Elephas maximus indicus: one gene and its partner. The protein of the gene in region 2 interacts with the protein of the main gene of each other region in a pairwise test. Links are inferred from orthologs where the notes say so. Each region holds a gene or a part of one and is shown on either strand. Other genes may lie near its edges.

Evidence for each region.
Region 1: the proteins of NAV2 (region 2) and ING5 interact in binary tests that used the Homo sapiens proteins (3 or more experiments, as listed by UniProt). The two-hybrid records come from large-scale screens. The link is inferred for Elephas maximus indicus from reciprocal best matches to the Homo sapiens genes NAV2 and ING5.

The regions. Positions count from the first base shown.
Region 1 is NC_064824.1:143,514,173-143,522,995, forward strand, and holds the start of ING5 (inhibitor of growth protein 5), read left to right. Parts: upstream 1-5,150; 5' UTR 5,151-5,182; coding exon 5,183-5,219; intron 5,220-8,490; coding exon 8,491-8,562; intron 8,563-8,823. UniProt on the Homo sapiens protein: Component of the HBO1 complex, which specifically mediates acetylation of histone H3 at 'Lys-14' (H3K14ac) and, to a lower extent, acetylation of histone H4. Component of the MOZ/MORF complex which has a histone H3 acetyltransferase activity.
Region 2 is NC_064825.1:74,993,029-75,002,072, reverse strand, and holds the start of NAV2 (neuron navigator 2), read right to left. Parts: upstream 3,559-9,044; 5' UTR 2,734-3,558; coding exon 2,476-2,733; intron 1-2,475. UniProt on the Homo sapiens protein: Possesses 3' to 5' helicase activity and exonuclease activity. Involved in neuronal development, specifically in the development of different sensory organs.

The DNA of each region.
Region 1 (8,823 bases), on a different chromosome or scaffold from region 2:
ACCCAAGCCATGGTATTTTCAATCGCATCATACGCGTGTGAAAGCTGGACAATGAATAAGGAAGATTGAAGAAGAATTGATGCCTTTGAGTTGTGGTGTTGGAGAATATCGAATATACCATGGACTGCCAAAAGAATGAACAAATCTCTCTTGGAAAAAGTACAACCAGAATGCTCCTTAGAAGCACGGATGGCGAGACTATGTCTTACATACTTTGGACACTTTGTCAGGAGGGATCAGTCCCTGGAGAAGGACATCATGCTTGGTAAAGTACAGGGTCAGCAGAAAAGAGGAAGACCCCCAAGGAAATGGATTGACACAGTGGCTACAACAATGGGCTCAAACATAACCATGATAGTATGGATGGCACAGGACCAGGCAGTGTTTTGTTCTGCGGTACACAGGGTTGCTATGAGTCGGAACTGACTCGATGGCATCTAACAACAACAACAATCAACGCCCATGGAAGCAGCAGTCAAGAAATCAAATAATGTATTGCATTGGGCAAATCTGCTGCAAAAGACCTCTTTAAAGTGTTAAAAAGCAAAGATGTCACCTTGAGGACTAAGGTGTGTCTTACCCAATGCATGGTACCTTCAATCATCTCATATGCATGTGAAGACTGGACAATGAATAAGGAAGACTGAAGAATTGACGTATTTGAATTATGGCGTTAGCAAAGAGTTTTGAATATACCAGGGACTACTAGAAGAAGGAACAAATACGTCTTGGAAGAAGTACAACCAGAATGCTCCTTAGAAGCAAGTATAGTGAGACTTTGTCTCGCTTACTTTGGACAGGTTATCAGAAGGGAATAGTCCCTGGAGGACATCATGCTTGGTACAGGGTCATTGAAAAAGAAGAAGGCTTCAAGGAAATGGACTGACACAGTAGCTGCAACGACAGGCTTAAACCTAGCAACAATTGTGAGGATGGTGAAAGACTGGGCAGTGTTTCGTTCTGTTGTGCATGGGGTCGCTATGAATTGGAACCAACCAATGGCACCTAACAACAACAGTACCCTTTGAGCTAGCAATACCATTTCTAAGAATTTATTCTAAAGAACTAATTAGACAATGTGATAAATTAAAGATGGCAGGAAATCCTTGGTTTTCTTCCCATTGAGAGTTGGGGTCTAATTCCCCCGGGATCTCGTTGGTCCAATTCTTTGTTTGATAATAGAATGTAGAGGATGCAATGTCTTGGGACTTCCTAGGCAAGGTCGTAAGAGTTTTGAAGCTTCTATGAGGGTCTCTTGGAACTCTGGAAACCCTGAATGGTCATGTTAGAAGTCCTATCGCCTGACTTGGCTATGCCAGAGAGGCTGTGTGCAGGCGCTCTGGTTCACAGTCCCAGTTGGACCAGCCTTCCAGCCTTCTCTGTCATGTCACAGAGAACAGAAGAATCACCCTGCTGAGCCACGCTGGAACTCCTCATAACACTGAAACAGAATGGTGGTTCCAACCACCAAGTTTTCAGGTAGTCTGTTATAAAGCAATACGTGACTGGAGCCGACAAATACATACAGCTGTGGTACATAATGTTCACTGGGGCACTGCTTATGAAAAACTGGAAACACAACATTGTTCATTGATCAGGAGTGTGCAAAATAAAGTATGGTCCACCAACAGCATTGAATATACCTAGCAAACAGGACGAGGTAGAATTGAGTAAGGCTTGGGGACACTTGTTCATGTCAGAGTGGTAAACCAACCAAGCCCAGTGCCGTCGAGTTGGTTCTGACTGATAGCGACCCTATAGGACAGGGTAGAACCACTCCATAGAGTTTCCAAGGAGCGCCTGGTAGATTCGAACTGCTGACCCTTTGGTTCGGAGCCGTAGCACTTAACCACTACACCACCAGGTCTTCTGTCAGAGTAGTAAGTTATAAATTTAAGTAGGAGAGAAGCAGCTGTGTACAATCATGTTTCTGTTGAAAATGCACACCTGTGTGTGTGTGCTTCCTCATCCAGTATTAAATGGGTCCACAAAGGATTCACTCTGAACTGCTAACACCTGGAGTAAAAAAGGCAAACAAAACAATCACAGTCCTGTGCCCTCAAGTGGGGAAACTTTTATAAGTTCTTATATGGTTTGAACTTTCATAAGAGTGTAAAATTGGCAAAAACAACATGTTTCTATTTTTCAGTATTTGCCCGTGGCTTGGAGGATGGTTAACAAAGGGGAATGTAGCTCTAAAATTATGCTTTATCCATCCCGTCTGGAGCAAAGGAGAGTGAAGAAAACCAAAGATGTGTGGGAAATGTTACTCCAAAGGACCAATGGACCACAAGTACCATAGCTTTCACCAGCCTGAACCCAGAACAACTAGATGATGCCCGGTTACCACCACTGACCCCTCTGACAGGGATCACAGTAGGGGGCCCCAGACAGAGTAGGAGAAAAATGTAGAACAAAATTCAAATTCACACACACAGACACACACAGACACACACAGACACAAAGACCAGGCTTACTGGTCTGACAGAGACTGGAGGAACCCTGAGACTATGGCCCCCAGACACTCTTTTAACTCAGATACAGGTGTATAAAATAAAATAATAGCACACGTGAGAATGTGCTTCTTAGCTGAATCATGTAAATGAGACCAAATGGGCAACACCTGCCCAAATGCTGCGCAAGAAGGCAGGGACAGGAAAAGGAGAGGAATGGACACGGGGCACCTGGGGTGGAGAAGGGGAGAGCGTTAACACCTCGTGGGGACTGCAACCAATGTCACAAAACAATTTGTGCATAAATTGTTCAATGAGAAATCAATTTGCTATGTAAACTCACTTAACCAAAATCCAAACCTGTTGTCGTTGAGTCGATTCTGACTCACAGCGATCTTACAGGACAGGGTACAACTGCCCTATGGTGTTTCCAAGAAGCAGCTGGTGGGTTCGAACTGCCAACCTTTTGGTTAGCAGCCTGAGCTCTCATCCATTGTACCAAAAATAAATAAAAAAATGCTTTAAGTAATGGAATTTGCATTGGTCAGGTTGTGGTGACTTGAACAGCCAACAACTGTAAGACAGGGCTTTACACTAGTTAGTTTGGGTTCACGCTCCTGCTGAGAATTTGCATTTCCACGCCCCCATAAACTGAATCAGAATCTACATTTTAATAAGACCCCCAGCTGATTTTTATGTATAATAAATTTTTAGAACCACTGCTCTACCAGTGGTTCTCAGAATCGGTCCCTAACCAGCGGCGTTATTCGCATTGCCTAGAAAAGAGAAGGAACCAGTTGGAAGCCCTGTGCTGTCATCTTGGCTCCACAGTGATGAGGGCTGGGGGATGCCGCCTTGCCGCCAGCTCTCCCATCCAGTGGTCACCTTTCCCCGGAGCCTGCAGGCATTCTCTACCTCTGGCCAATCTGAGTGAGGAGAGCTTACACCAGCAGGCAGGCCATGCAGGGCTTCTCTCATGGTGTTTGGCCCCCAGTCGGTTGGGCAGCCCAACTGAGGCGGTCTGCGTGCGGCCAGAAAGAGGAGAAACGTGGAACCTGGTGAGCAGCAACCAGGATGACAGCACAAAGCGCAGACACAGAAAAGCAGCACCCTGAACCCAACCTCTCAGGGCATTTTCATTGTCTCTCAGGGTCTTGACACGTGCTTCCGCTTCACTTCTGTGCAGCGTTCTACCCGGTTAACCTTGTATCCCATTGTTACATGGCGCCTGGTGTGCCCCAGGCGCGCGCAGCGCGGGTCGCAGGGCTCCTCTCCAGTGACCGGCAGCGGTAGGGGAAAGCGAATCCACCGATTGGATGCCCTGGGGTGGGCGCTATTGGCAGCGGAGGGGTCAGGAAGGGCCTGGCCGAGGCAATGTTGTGGTGGGGGGTGAAGGTCAGCGGGGAGCCAATGGGGACACATGCGCCGTCGGCCTCCCAGGGATACGAAGCTGGACGCCTGCACGCTGCCGGCTGGGGGCCACGCAGAGCCCAGGCTGGGCTGCGGTGAGCGCCGCGGCTTCTGATGGATTCTGACGACAAGCCGTGATGGGAGCCGTGAGGCGAGGACGGAGGGACCGAGCGCGGGCTCACTGAGCCCCGAGCGCGGATGGCGAGGACAGAGCCGGGCTCACTGAAGCCCGAGCGCGGACGCCAAGGACGGGGGACGGAGCCGGGCTGAACCCCGAGGGCGAACGGCGCGGACAGGGGGACGGAGCGCGGACTCACTGAGCCCCGAGCGCAGACGGCGAGGACGGAGCGCGGGCTCACTGAACCCCCAGCGCGGACGGCGAGGACGGAGCGCGGGCTCACTGAGTCCCGAGAGCGGACAGCGAGGACGCACGTGCAGCCTCCGAGGTGGCTCCGAACGCACCCCTGTCCCCGCGCCCTTCCTGTCCGTGGTCCGGCGTCCCCCTGACCCCAGGCCCCCCACCCTCGTCCCCGCGTCCCCCTGACCCCAGGCCCCCCACCCTCGTCCCCGCGTCCCCCTGACCCCAGGGCCCCCACCCTCGTCCCCGCGTCCCCCTGACCCCAGGGCCCCCACCCTCGTCCCCGCGTCCCCCTGACCCCAGGCCCCGCACCCTCGTCCCCGCGTCCCCCTGACCCCAGGGCCCCCACCCTCGTCCCCGCGTCCCCCTGACCCCAGGCCCCCCACCCTCGTCCCCCTGACCCCAGGCCCCCACCCTCGTCCCCGCGTCCCCCTGACCCCAGGGCCCCCACCCTCGTCCCCGCGTCCCCCTGACCCCAGGCCCCGCACCCTCGTCCCCGCGTCCCCCTGACCCCAGGCCCCCCACCCTCGTCCCCCTGACCCCAGGCCCCCACCCTCGTCCCCGCGTCCCCCTGACCCCAGGGCCCCCACCCTCGTCCCCGCGTCCCCCTGACCCCAGGGCCCCCACCCTCGTCCCCGCGTCCCCCTGACCCCAGGGCCCCCACCCTCGTCCCCGCGTCCCCCTGACCCCAGGGCCCCCACCCTTGTCCCCGGGTCCCCCTGACCCCAGGCCCCCACCCTCGTCCCCCGACCCAGGTCCCCCCGCCCCGCGCCTCCCCGCAGACATCAGCACACGCTCGCTCCGCTGGGCGGAAGCCGAGGGGCGGGCTCCGGGTCCGTCCCGCCCCTCCGCCGGCGCCCGCCAATCAGCGCGCGGCCTTATGAATAGTGAAGCACGGCGCGCCCCGCCCCCTCACGCCGGCACCGCCCGCCCGCGCAGAGCCGAGCGCGGCGCGGAGAAGATGGCGACCGCCATGTACTTGGAGCACTACCTGGACAGTAAGCGCGCGGCCGGCCGCCCCGGCCCGCCCCGCCATCTGGCGCCGTCGCCGCCCAGTTCCCCCGCACGGCGGGCCTTGCGCGGCGGGCGGCGGGGGTTCCCGTGAGGGCGGCCGGGGCGGTGGGGGCGCCGGGCACGCGCGGGGGCGGGGCGCGGGGAGGGCGGGCGGCCGGGTCCGCGCGAATTCCAGGTGCGTCACGGCGGGCGGGGCGGGGCCGGCGTGAGGGGCGGGGCCGGACCGTGGGGCGGGGCCTCAATGCCGGGGCCGGGCGGGCAGGAGGGGGCTCGGATGACGGGGCGGGGCCTGAATACCCGGGGCCGGGCGGGGCCTGGGCGGCGGGGCGGGGGATGAGTAGTGGGGCCAGGTGGGCGTGGCGGGGTCTGGATGGGGGACGGGGCGAGATGGGCGGGGCCTGAATAGCTGGTAGGGTGGGCGTGGCGGGGGCTGGATGAAGGGGCGGGGCATGAATAGTGGGGCCAGGTGGGCGTGGCGGGGTCTGGATGGGGGACGGGGCGAGATGGGCGGGGCCTGAATAGCTGGTAGGGTGGGCGTGGCGGGGGCTGGATGAAGGGGCGGGGCATGAATAGTGGGGCCAGGTGGGCGTGGTGGGGTCTGGATGGAGAGGCGGGGCATGAATAGTGGGGCCAGGTGGGCGTGGCGGGGTCTGGATGGAGGGGCGGGGCATGAATAGTGGGGCCAGGTGGGCGTGGCGGGGTCTGGATGGAGGGGCGGGGCATGAATAGTGGGGCCAGGTGGGCGTGGCGGGGTCTGGATGGAGGGGCGGGGCATGAATAGTGGGGCCAGGTGGGCGTGGCGGGGTCTGGATGGAGGGGCAGGGCAAGATGGGCGGGGCCTGATAAGGGGAAGGTGGGTGGTGTGGGGTCTGAATAGAGGGGCTAGGTAAGGTGAACAGGGCCTGAACAGTGGGTCCATTTTGGGTTCTGGAGGACTGGACGAAAATTGGATGACTAGGTGGGTTCTGCCGGATGGGCGCGGCCTTATGACACAGTGGAGTCTCGTGGGTGGAGCCGGGCCAGATGCTTCTGGGTCCTGTTCTTGTTCCGTGGGCAGGGCTGAGCAGGGCCAGGGCCAGTGGTGGTCGGTGGTACAGTGGAGCAGACCAGGCCTGCGGGGCCCCGGGTCTGAGTTGTGTCCCTATGTGTCCTGGGACCTGCGGCCCCCTTGACAGCGCCCAGTCTCAGTTTCTGCATCGGCACAATGGGGATAGGGACGCTGGTTTGGTGAGTTGTATCGGTTCCCTTTCTTTATTAAGTTGCACGTGGTTCCACGATCAGAATGCTCTCATGCCTTACTGAGCTTGGTAAAGTGGTAAGAATCACGACGGGTGTCCTAATGTGCGATGCGTGCCGAGTCTCCCAATGCTTGGCTGCCTTTTGTCTGCATTACACGAAGCAACAGACTTCTCGCGGAAGTATCCCCATTTTGCAGTTGAGGAAACTGAGGCTCAGAGAGGGTGGTCACTTGCACAAGGTCCCACAGCAAGCTGAGTGGCAGAACCCATGTTTGAATTTAGTGACTATGGGGCAGGTGATTTCCTTGGGGCTGGGTGGGGGCTGAGCTGGCCAGTCTTTCAGGTGGTCTGGTAAGACCATCTCCTTTGGGAGTGCTGCCCTGGGGACTCTGACAGCCTCGCTGGCCTGGGGACTTGGGAGCCCTACTGAGCTTGCTCAGAGGAGTCAGTGAGCCATGTGCCCCTAACTGGCAACAGTGGGAATGCCCAATCCACACTGTTCATTCTGCTCCCTGGTGGCGCAGTGGTTAAGAGCTCGGCTGCCAACCAAAAGGTTGCCAGTTCAAAACCACCAGCTGCTCCTTAAAAAACCCTATGGGGCCCTTCTTGTCTGTTCTTTAGGGTAGCTATGAGTCGTAAACGACTCAACAGCAATGGGTTTTTCTTCTGCCCCCTGAGCAGTGGGAGTCCCCATGTGGGAGAGACAGAATGGGGAGCATGGTGACGGGATGCTTTTACCCTGTCATCACTAAAGACAGTGGAGCCAGTGAGCAGAGCCGGCCATGGCCCAGGAGCAGCCTGGCGTCTGAAGGGGAGCATGGTGTCCTCCTCTGTATCCCGGTCCTGCCCAGTGGGTACAGCAGGTACTCAGAGGGCTTGGGGACACGTGTGCCTCCCCTGCGTGGGTACAGGGACAGTTGCCCCTGTTCCCCTCCTGGGCACCATGGTGCGCTGTGCCAGGTGGGGGCCGGGAAGCCCTGAAAACAGACATGGCCTTGTGCTCCTGGAACTTCTCCCACATGGGTAGGACGGGGCTTTAAAATTCGCAGAACCTACAAGGCTACAGGGAACCAGCAGGTGGGAGAGTATGGTGTGGTGGCCCGTCCTGCAGTGTGGAGCTCAGGAGCCTGGGTCGTTGGACAGACTGGTGTGGTGGGAACAGAGGGTGGGATGTAGGGGCATGTTTAGGGAGGATGTGGAGGGGGATATGTAGGTCTGTGGGGGCACTGTGGGAGCAGAGAGGCTGGGGTGGAGGGGGATGTGTAGCGGGGCGTGGAGGGGGACACGTCGGGGGACACGTGGGGGGATGTATATGGGAATGCATAGGCCTGTGGGGGCACAGTGGGAGCAGAGAGGCTGGGGCAGAGGGGGATGCGTCGGGGGGCACACAGGCTGGTGGGCACGCTGGCCCAAAAGCTGAAGAGTGGGGTCCTCTGACCTGCGTGGTCTAGTATTGTAGCCCCCAGCCTCAAGAACCATCTAACCTTAATTATCATTAAGTAAACCTAACGCTTCATTTCCCCAGTGCACTAGCCACATTTTAAGTGCTCAGTAGCTGCTGTGCCAGGCAGTTCAGAGAGAGCATTCCCTCCTTGTAGGAATTCTCTTGGCAGTGGTGGTCTGCACCTGCCTATGCCCAGGGTCTCAGGAAAGTGAAGGGCATATCACGGAGCATGCCGGGTCAGGGGGCGACAGCAGGTCGGGGGGCAACGGCAGGTCCGGGGGCGACGGCCAGGTCCAGGGGTGATGGCAGGTCCATGGGCTGTGATGGGTTTGGCCAATGGGCTGTCTTCCTTGCCCTGCTTTCAACTCGTATCTGCGTCACTGCTAACTTCTCTATTTCTGACAAGTGTCAGCCTCTGCCAGCAGTGTTTGGTGCCTGTTCCTGAAAAAGAGATTTTCATCCTTCTCTTTCCGAAACCCCAACAAAACAGACGGGAATGGCTGTAGAACCTTGTGGGCAGGTCTTGGTCCTGCTATTGAGACTCACACGGAGCCTCCTGTCTTGGTGTTTCAGGTATCGAGAACCTTCCCTGTGAGCTTCAGAGGAACTTCCAGCTGATGCGTGAGCTGGACCAGAGGACGGAAGGTGGGTGCAGGCCTGCTGTGCAGCTGGGAGCTGGACTCTGACAGCTGGGCCTCAAGGCCGCCAAGGCAGCGCACAGAGGCGTGGGGAGGGACTGGGGATGGCAGAGGGCTTTGGGGGTGGAGCTCGGGGAGGGTGCTGCTGCCTGGCCTAGGCTGTGGGGATGGCACGTACAGGGGCTTAGAGAGCATGCTGATACGTTGTCAATCACCTTTCGCTTCTTGGGTTTTTACTACAAATTTTCATAACCATCATCTGCTCTTT
Region 2 (9,044 bases):
CAGAGCGTGGGCTATCCAAAGAAGGCAAGACCCCTTTTGTCAAAGTCAATGTGATACCAGGATGGGTATGTAAGAAGAACAAGAGTCAGCCTCTTGCCCCTGGGAAAAGACCCTAGGGACCCACACACTGATAAGCCCCATTTCCAAGGATGAAGGGGACACCGCCTGCAGCAGTGTGCTCCAGGGCTCATCCCCATTTCAGAGCCCACTGGACAAGTCCCACTGACAGGTAGGCAAAAACCAGGATAGAACACTGGGACCCGCAGGGGTCCATCCAGACTGTCCCTGTGGTCAGTGCACAAGGATCCACTGAGGGCAAGAGACACGGAACTGCGGTAATTCTGGGAATTGTGGGCCAAGGGTGAAGGAAGGAACAGCATCATGCCAGCCCCTCAGGGGGAAGCTGGAGAACATTTTTCAGGGGAGACAGTGATGAATCACCTTTCCAGAGCCTGCCCACTGCATGTCCTCTGATAATGTTTGTTAAATGAAGGGTCAAATGGGCAAAGGGTAGAACAGCTGTCTGGAAAGGAACAATCTTGGCCTCTACTTTCCCTCTCGTTCCTCGGATCCTTCTCATCAGCTCGAGGGTGTGTGTCACATCCTGAGTCACCATTCTGGCCTCGCATACACCACCTACCACACCTCATAAACCCCACCTCCAAGGATGAAGGGGAACCCTCCAGTAGCAGTGCACCCCAGTGCTCATCCCCATTTCAGAATCCACTGGACAAGTCCTGTGGCTCACAACAGAAAAAGAGAGCAGAGCACACAATCCTGGTAGAGACAGACCCCAGGAGCATTGGAGGAAATCTTGCCTTCCTCCCACACGCCATCACTCAAACCTGTCAGTTTCCAAAAATGTTTAGCAAGTGTAGCAGCAAGGGGCTTGCTTATCAGCCTGATGTGGGAGCTTAATCTGCTTTGAGGGCCTTCTCCAGCCCAGAGTTCCAGAAGTCTGCTTACAATTAGCCTCCAGCTCCAGTCCCTCCACCAGCAAGGCTAGGAATGTGTTGAGCTCTAGCCTCTGATCAGGGAAATCTCCAGGAGAAGGTGGAGACAGTGTCAGCACGCCAAAAAGGTCAGCTGGTCTGTTGCCACTACCCTGACACCAGCCCCAAACCACCTCCCCCTCTGGCTTTCCCGCCTCTCCTGACCGGGGACAGTCACATCCGTCAGGTTTGCCTGTCCCCAAAAGTCCCTGTTGACCGACTGCCAAGAAAACGCAACATGCCCTCACTCCCTCCTACTAGAACAGCGAAAAAAAGCAGTGGGGAGGGCAGGAGGCCAAGAGAACCGGATTGGCTCTTGCTGATTTCCTTAAAAGAGACTGCCTGGCCAGAGTCTGTCACCCGGCCGAACTGGGTGATGCGGGCTCTGTCTCGTAAGATAGAAGTCACCATCTCCCTTCAAACCATGTCCCCACCCCTGCCCGCAGCCATCCTGGCTACCAGCCCCAGGATCTACCACCCAGGAAGGAGGGGCTAAGCTGCCTAAGAATGGCGGCCACCCCTACCCCCACAGCCAGCCAAGAAGCTAGGAGTCTCCAGCTGCCTGTCTCAGCTGGTGGGTGCACTGGGCACTCATACTGCAGCCCCAGCACCGTGCCCGGAATTCTGTCAGCCCTAGGACAGGCAGGGGCAGGCCACCTTCAAGCCAAGTGGGAAGGTCCCCCCCGCCCCCACCAGGCCCTCTTTCCTGAATCTTGCAGCCAGGTGGAGGTGGGGGGGGGGGCGGGGAACGGTGGTTAGGGCGTTGAGCCCAACGGGAAAAGGGCAAGCCACCGGGTCTCAGACCATTCATTGACAGGGACAAAACCTCTGCGGAACCGACAGACAGACAGAACGACACACACACACACACACACACACACACACACACACACACACACACACACACACACACACACACACACACACACACACACACACACACACACACACACACACACACACACACACACACACACACACACACACACACACACACACACACACACACACACACACACACACACACACACACACACACACACACACACACACACACACACACACACACACACACACACACACACACACACACACACACACACACACACACACACACACACACACACACACACACACTCTGCCTTCTTGGAACCAAGCCTACAAACATATAGGACCTGACATTTCCAGTGAGGTACACGTTTCTTGAGAACACCCCGGCAGTGCCCACCAGAAGGAAGCCGCAGGCGTGGCCACACCGCGGGTCTCACGGATCTCCTTAGGCAAACCTTGAGCACCAGGGCCACACCCACCGGCCGGGCCACTCTTCTCGTGCATCCCAAACCTGCCGGCCTAAGGAAAACGGTTCCCCTCCCGACCCACAGGGTAGCCCTTTTCCCCATCAAGCTGTACCATCCACCCACCCCACCCCCAAAGTATTAACCCACCCTCCCAGATAAGTGCTGCGGCACGCAGCGCCTCTCACCTGGGTATCGAACCCGTTTTCCACGGAACCGCTTTTCCGCAGAGGGAGCCCCTCCCCCGCCGGCTCTTGCAGCCCCTGCGATTTCAGGGGAATCTGGCTAGGGTAGGCGGTCTTGCTCACCTCCACCTTGCTTCCCAACTTGAGGTAGCAGGGCTGGGGGCCGGCCCTGGCCGGGGGCACGTGCAGGATGGGTGCGGCGCTGTGCACCGGTTTGGGAAGTCCCGACTTCATTTTGGAGGCGACCAGGATGGCCGGCATCTTCTCCCGGGGCTTCGGTTTTCCCAGCACGTCCCTGGCAGCGGCGGCGGAGGCGACCGCTAAAGGCAGCGCGGGCAGCAGAGCAGGCGCCGGGCCTCGGCCCGCGAGGCGCCCACTACCAGCGGCGGAATAAAAAAGCCCCGGATCGGGAACTCGGAAGGGGCCGGCGAGCGTGCCTTCGGGGTGCCGGGATGAGAGCCCGGGACTAGTGACTGCGCTCAACGGACCCCACTTGGACCGATGCTGCAGCGGAGTCTCACGCCCTTCCTGGACAAGCCGCTCAAGAGCTCAGGGTGCTAGGAGGCTGCTGCCTCTTGCAATTTTCCTCCTGGGAAACCGAGGCTTGAACGCCCATATTATCTTGTCACTGCATCTCCGAATTGAGGAGGTCCCTTTGGAAGGGAGAAAGCGGCGAGGACGCACGCCTCCCGCTCCAGGAGGCTGCGGGTGTAAGCGGGCGAGGGAAGGAGCGAGTAGCGGAGGAAGGAGAGAAAAAAGGCGCACCGAGCCCAAGACGTCTCCACCAAAAGGTAGCTGCCGCCCCGCTCACGAGCACCGCAGTGTCACCGCGATGCAGAGGCGCGGCGACAGCTCCGGAAAGGTCTCTCTTGGCTTGACAGTCGGTCACCACTGCCCAGAAGCCCCCAGGACAGATAGCACCTTAGTGCCTGCGGGTCTGCACATGCTCGGTGCGCTATAGCGCAGCGAGGTTGTGGCAGTGGGGCGCGGGCACAGGGACGCGCGGCTGGCGGGCTGGGTAGGGCTGCACTCGCGAGCGGCCGCCGCGCTTCCCGGGAAGGTTGCGCTGGCTGCGAGGCTCCGCGCAGGGGAGGACAAGTCGCGGCCGGCGCGGCTGCAGCGCGCGCTGACAGCCCGGGCCGCCCCGGCGCGCCTATTGGTCGGCGGTGAGCCAATCATCGGCCGCAGCTCTCTCTGCAAAGGGGGCGTGGCCTCAACTCTGGGGTCGCCGCCGAAACTCTGGGGCCGCGCTTGGCCTCAAGTACAAAGCAGGCTGGTGGCTGCTCTGCGGCGCTGCTCCGGCGGCGCGCTTCCCGGCGGGCCGACACCCCCACTTCCCTGGAGCCTTATTTTGAAAAATGCCCTTTCGAACGCAAACGCCCGCCTTGGGGCCCTGCGGGTACCGCTCCGAGGAAGTGTGTTTGCCTTTTTCAAATTGCTCAGGTCATCGTAACGGTTAGAGGCTTCCGGAGTAACGCCAGCAGCCTCGCTGCCCCCCATCTGGCCTGGGTAGGGCCTCGCCTTGTCTCCCGCGTAAAGGACGCGCCAGCCGTTTCGCCTCTTTTCTGCCTGCTCTTCCAGGCGGGCCGGGGGGCCTCCCAATAGCTTCCTCTCCAGCTTTCAAAGGCTGCACATTTCACTTAACTATTTGAAGTATTTATAGGCAAATACAATACCCAGAGAAGCCTCCCGTCCCCAGACAACTCCTCCTCACAACCTACCACAGACTCTGTAATTACAGTGGCCTGAGGAAGCCAGGAGAAGGCTCAATGGCCCTAGCAGGCTCTAGCTAAACCAGGCTGCGTTTCATGTCGGAGCCCCTCCCTGTCCGCGCTTCGGACGCACGGGCCCCACAGGTTCCCCGGCTTTAATGCACCTTAGGATTTCTCCCCTAGTCTCAGTCTTGGTAGCTCTGGGTTCCTTGCTGAGTCAAAATATGTGAAAACTGGAAAGGAACTGAGTAATTCAGGCAGGCCAGAGCCCTCCAGATTCACCTACCCGCCCCCCCGACTTCCCCACCCCCGTAGAACTGCCTGGATTTGAATTGGACACGTTCTTTTAACCTTATATGCATTCTTATAAAGCTCTGGTTTTCACATGTAGTTAGGTGGAGGTTTGAGTGCATGTGCAGTTGTTTGGATTAAATGAGATAGTACACATGGCAGTCTTTTAGCATCAAAAACAAACCCAAACCCATTGCCCTCCAAGCAGAAAACTGCCCCATAGGGTTTCCAAGGAGTGGCTGGTGGATTCAAACTGCCAACCTTTTGGTTAGCAGCCAGTCTCTCAACCACGGGGCCACTTAAGCTCCCTTTTAGCACTCATGCCTGGCAATATATTGTTGCCGTTGTGTACCACTGAGTTAATTCCAACTCATAGCAACCATACAGGACAGAGCAGAACTGCCCCATAGGGTTTCCAAGGAGCAGCTGACGGATTACAACTGCTGACCTTTTGGTTAGCAGCCAAGCTCTTAACCACTGTGCCACCAGGACTCTACAATGTTGATAGTATTGATTTATAATTATCCACACCATAGGAAACTTCAAAGTGTAAAACAACCTCTGCAGCATCAAGAAATGAGAAGTTGCCTTCTTACCCTGGCTTGCTCCCTCTGCCACCTTACCTCCCACCCATGCTGTGTACAAACTTTATACTCTAGCTAGGCTGGAATGTGCAGCCCTGTGTATAAGCTGGAGCCCTGGTGGCACAGTGGTCAAGCCCTTGCTGATAACCAAAAAGTTGGGGGTCTGACCCCATCAGCCACTCCATGGGAGTAAGATATGGCAGTCAGCTTCCATAGAGATTACAGTCTTGGAAATCCTATGGGGCAGTTCTACCCTGTCTAATAGGGTCACTATGAGTTGGAATCAACTTGACGGCAATGGGTTTGATTTGGTTTTTTTGTCTCAGGTATCCTTTCTCCCTCTGAAGTTAAATCACACGTGATTTCTGTCACTGATTTAACACTCTGCCCCTTGCCATTAGATGCCACTTCCTGAACTATTGTCTTGCTTTATTTAACTCTTGTTATTTACTGTTTCATTTGTTTCTTTGTTTTCTTCTTAATTAAAGAATAAGCCTCTGGAAGTTAGGGACTGGGCCTTAACTCTCTTTAGATTCTCCAAGCCTGGAGTATAATGCTGTGAACAGAATAGCTACCCAAATTGTTACTGAGTGAATGAATGATGCCGGCACCTGTTCTGAACAAGGGTAGTTGTCTTTTAGATTCAGGACCAAAAAGTCATAAGAAGTATCTCATTATATTAAATCTGGGGACTCTCCTGCCCAGAATTCTGGCTCTGACAGATGTCCCAAGAGTTAGGGAAAGATATTGCTGTCTTCAACACTTCAGCTTCTAAACGTCAAGGAGAGATTTCAAAGCATTCCCTTGCTCCTAATTCAGTGGTTCTCAAAGCCTGGTCCCTGGCTGACCAGCAGCAGCAGCATTTGGAAACTTGCTAGAAAAGCCCTACTCCAGACCTGTTTTTGTTGAATTCATTGCCATTTTCCACAGCTGTAATCTTTACAGAAGCAGACTGCCACATCTTTCTCCAACAGAGTGGCTGGTAGGTTTGAACCACTGACCTTTTGGTTAGCAGCTGAGAGCTTAACCACTGTACCAGCAGGGCTCCTTTTGTTGTTGTTAGGTGTCATCCAGTCAATTTTCAACTCATAGTGAGTCCACGTGACAGAGTAGAACTGACCCATAGGGTTTTCTATAATCTTTATGGGAGGTGTCCTGGTGGGGCAATGGTTAAGTGTTTGCCTATTGTTAAAGCCATCCACTTGTGGTATTTCTGTTATAGCAACACTAGATAATTAAGAAAGAATCTGGTACCAAGAGTGGGGTGTTGCTCTAACAGATACCTAAAACGTGGAAGCAGCTTTATAATTGGGTGATGGGTAAAGGATGGAAGAGTTTTAAAGCCCTAATATCAAAAGCCTCGATTGCCCTGAAGAGATTATTGGTGGAATTATGGACATCAAAGATAATTCTGGTGAGGGCTCAGATGGAAGTGAGGAGAGCTGTAACACCGGGAATGGCAAAGACAGCAAGAAGAAGCAGCAGAGAAACAGTGGCAGCAGAACCAGGAGACTGGTATTAGCACAGGAGCCAACCCATGGAGCAAGAAAGCTGAGCGCCTAGAGGCAGGAGGCTAGCTGGTGGACTGGGGTGCCTCCAGGTACTTATCTGTAGAGCTAAAGAACATTGTAACACTTGCCAGAGCAGGGCAGAGGCCAGGCCAACCTGAAGGGGCAAGGGGCTGAGAAGCTAAGGAACCAAGAAGCAGAAGCTAAAGAGATAAGGAGCATGGGAAGCAGAGGTACCTCAGTCTCAAAGGGTAGGGCCATGACCTTTTGGGGTCTCAAAGAATGGTGCCATGGTCTCCTAGGTTTCAAAGAGTCAGATCATCACCAATTTGGTTCTGGAGCATGGGGCTGCAGTTCATGAATGCCAGGGAAATGGGGCCAGAACTACTGTTCAAAGCTGAGGGGGTAGGGCTGCCATGCCCAAGGGGCAGAAGTTGGACTGCAAGGAGCTGCCCAAATCTGAGGAAGCAGAGTTTCTGTCCAAGTGGGCCTGGAAGGCAGAGCTGAAGCCCAGGGACAAAGAGCCATTACCCAGAGCCTGAAGGGCAGAGCCATTGCCTAAATGATCCTAGAGAAGAGGATTATTTTCAAGCCTTGACAGGTAATTTAATGTGTTCTGCTGGGTTTTGAACTTGCTTGGTACCTGTTATCCCTTTTTTCCTCCCAATTTCTACCATTTATAATGGAAATGTCTACCTTGTGCCTATTCTACCATTGAACTTTGGAAGTAGATAACCTGTATTCTAGACTTCACAGGTGAAGAGGAATTTTACCCCAGGATGGAATTTGGACTTGGAGTTGATTTAAGACTTAGGGATAATATGATGGGATGAATGTGTTTTACATGTGGCAAGGTCATGAATTTTGGGGGCGGGGGGGTCAAAGGATGGAATGTTATGGATTGAATTGTGTCCCCCAAAAATGTGTGTCAGTTTGATTCCCAATATTGTGAGGTTGTTCTCCATTTTGTAATTTGATGTAATTATCCCATATGTTGTAAATCCTAACCTCTATGATGTTATTAAGGCAGGATTAGAGGCAGTTATATTAATGAGGCAGGGCACAATCTACAGGATTAAGTTGTATATTGAGTCAATCTCTTTTGAGATATAAAAGAGACAAGGGAACAGAGAGACAGGGGGACCTCAAACCACCAAGAAAGAAGAGCCAGGAGTACAGCATGTCGCTTGGACCGAGGGTCCTTGAGCTTAGAAGCTCCTAGACCAGGGGAAGATTGATGACAAGGACCTTCCCCCAGAGCTGACAGAGAGACACAGCCTTCCCCTGAAGCTGGTGCCCTCCATTTCGGCTTCTGGCCTCCTAAACTGTGAGAGCTCCTAACCAAAAAGCTGGCAGTTGGAAATTGTAACCCACCTAGTGGCTCTGCAGGAGAAAGACCTGGCAATCTATAAAGATTGTTGTTGTTTGGTGTCCTGGAGTCAATTTTGACTCATAGCAACCCCACGTGACACAGCAGAACTGCCCCACAGGATTTTCTTGTCTTAAATCTTTATGAGAATAGGTTACCAAGTCTTTCTCCTGCAGAGCTACTGGGTGGGTTCCAGCTGCCAACCTTTCATTAGCAGTTGAGCTGTTAACCATTGCGCCACCAGGACTCCTTTTACCCCAGACCTAGAGAGTTAAAACCTGAGGGTGGGGCCAGCAATCTGTGCTTCAATGAGTGTTTAACCTGGTGATTCTGATGCATACTAAAGTTTGAGAACTTCTGCCGTAATGAATATATATCATGCACTCCCTGGGCTTCTTAAGCCTTAATGTCTGTGTGAATCACTGGGGATGTTATTACAATTCAGATTCTGCTTCAGCAGGTATGGAATGAGGCAGAGATTCTGCATTCTGCAGGACGTCCATGCTGGTGATGTGTAGATCACACTGTTAAGTAGTAAGGCTAAGCCATAGGTAGCAAAAGGGTTTCATCTGTGGCTAATTAGTAGTAACTTTCTGTAGCACTGTGCTGAAAAGGATTCTGGGGATGCATCTACCTAGTTTAATTGGTAATAGTTGCTTGATCCATTAATAATATCTGCCATGGGTACAAAAGGGAAATGGTGACGTACATGCTATGTATTTGCAATCTTTGATTTTGCATTTAAATTGTATTTGCTACAAGGTAATTCTCTGAGTTCTAAGACCTTCGAATATGTACTACCATGAAAAACAGTGCTAACATGAAAAACTAATAAAAAATTACTTTCTTTGTATTAAAGATACTTTTTAATATTGTAAGATTTGGTGACCTTATGAGCGCTCACTTTAACGCTGTGATTTATACACCTAAGGTCTATATAATTTCCCACCTTTATTGATCAATAAAGGAGCCCTGGTGATGTACTGATTAAAGTACTTGGCTGCTAACTGAAAGGTAAGTGGTTCAAATCCACCAGCCACTCCATGGGAGAAAGATATGGCAGTCTGCTTCTGTGAAGGTTATAGCCTTAGAAACCCTATCGGGCAAT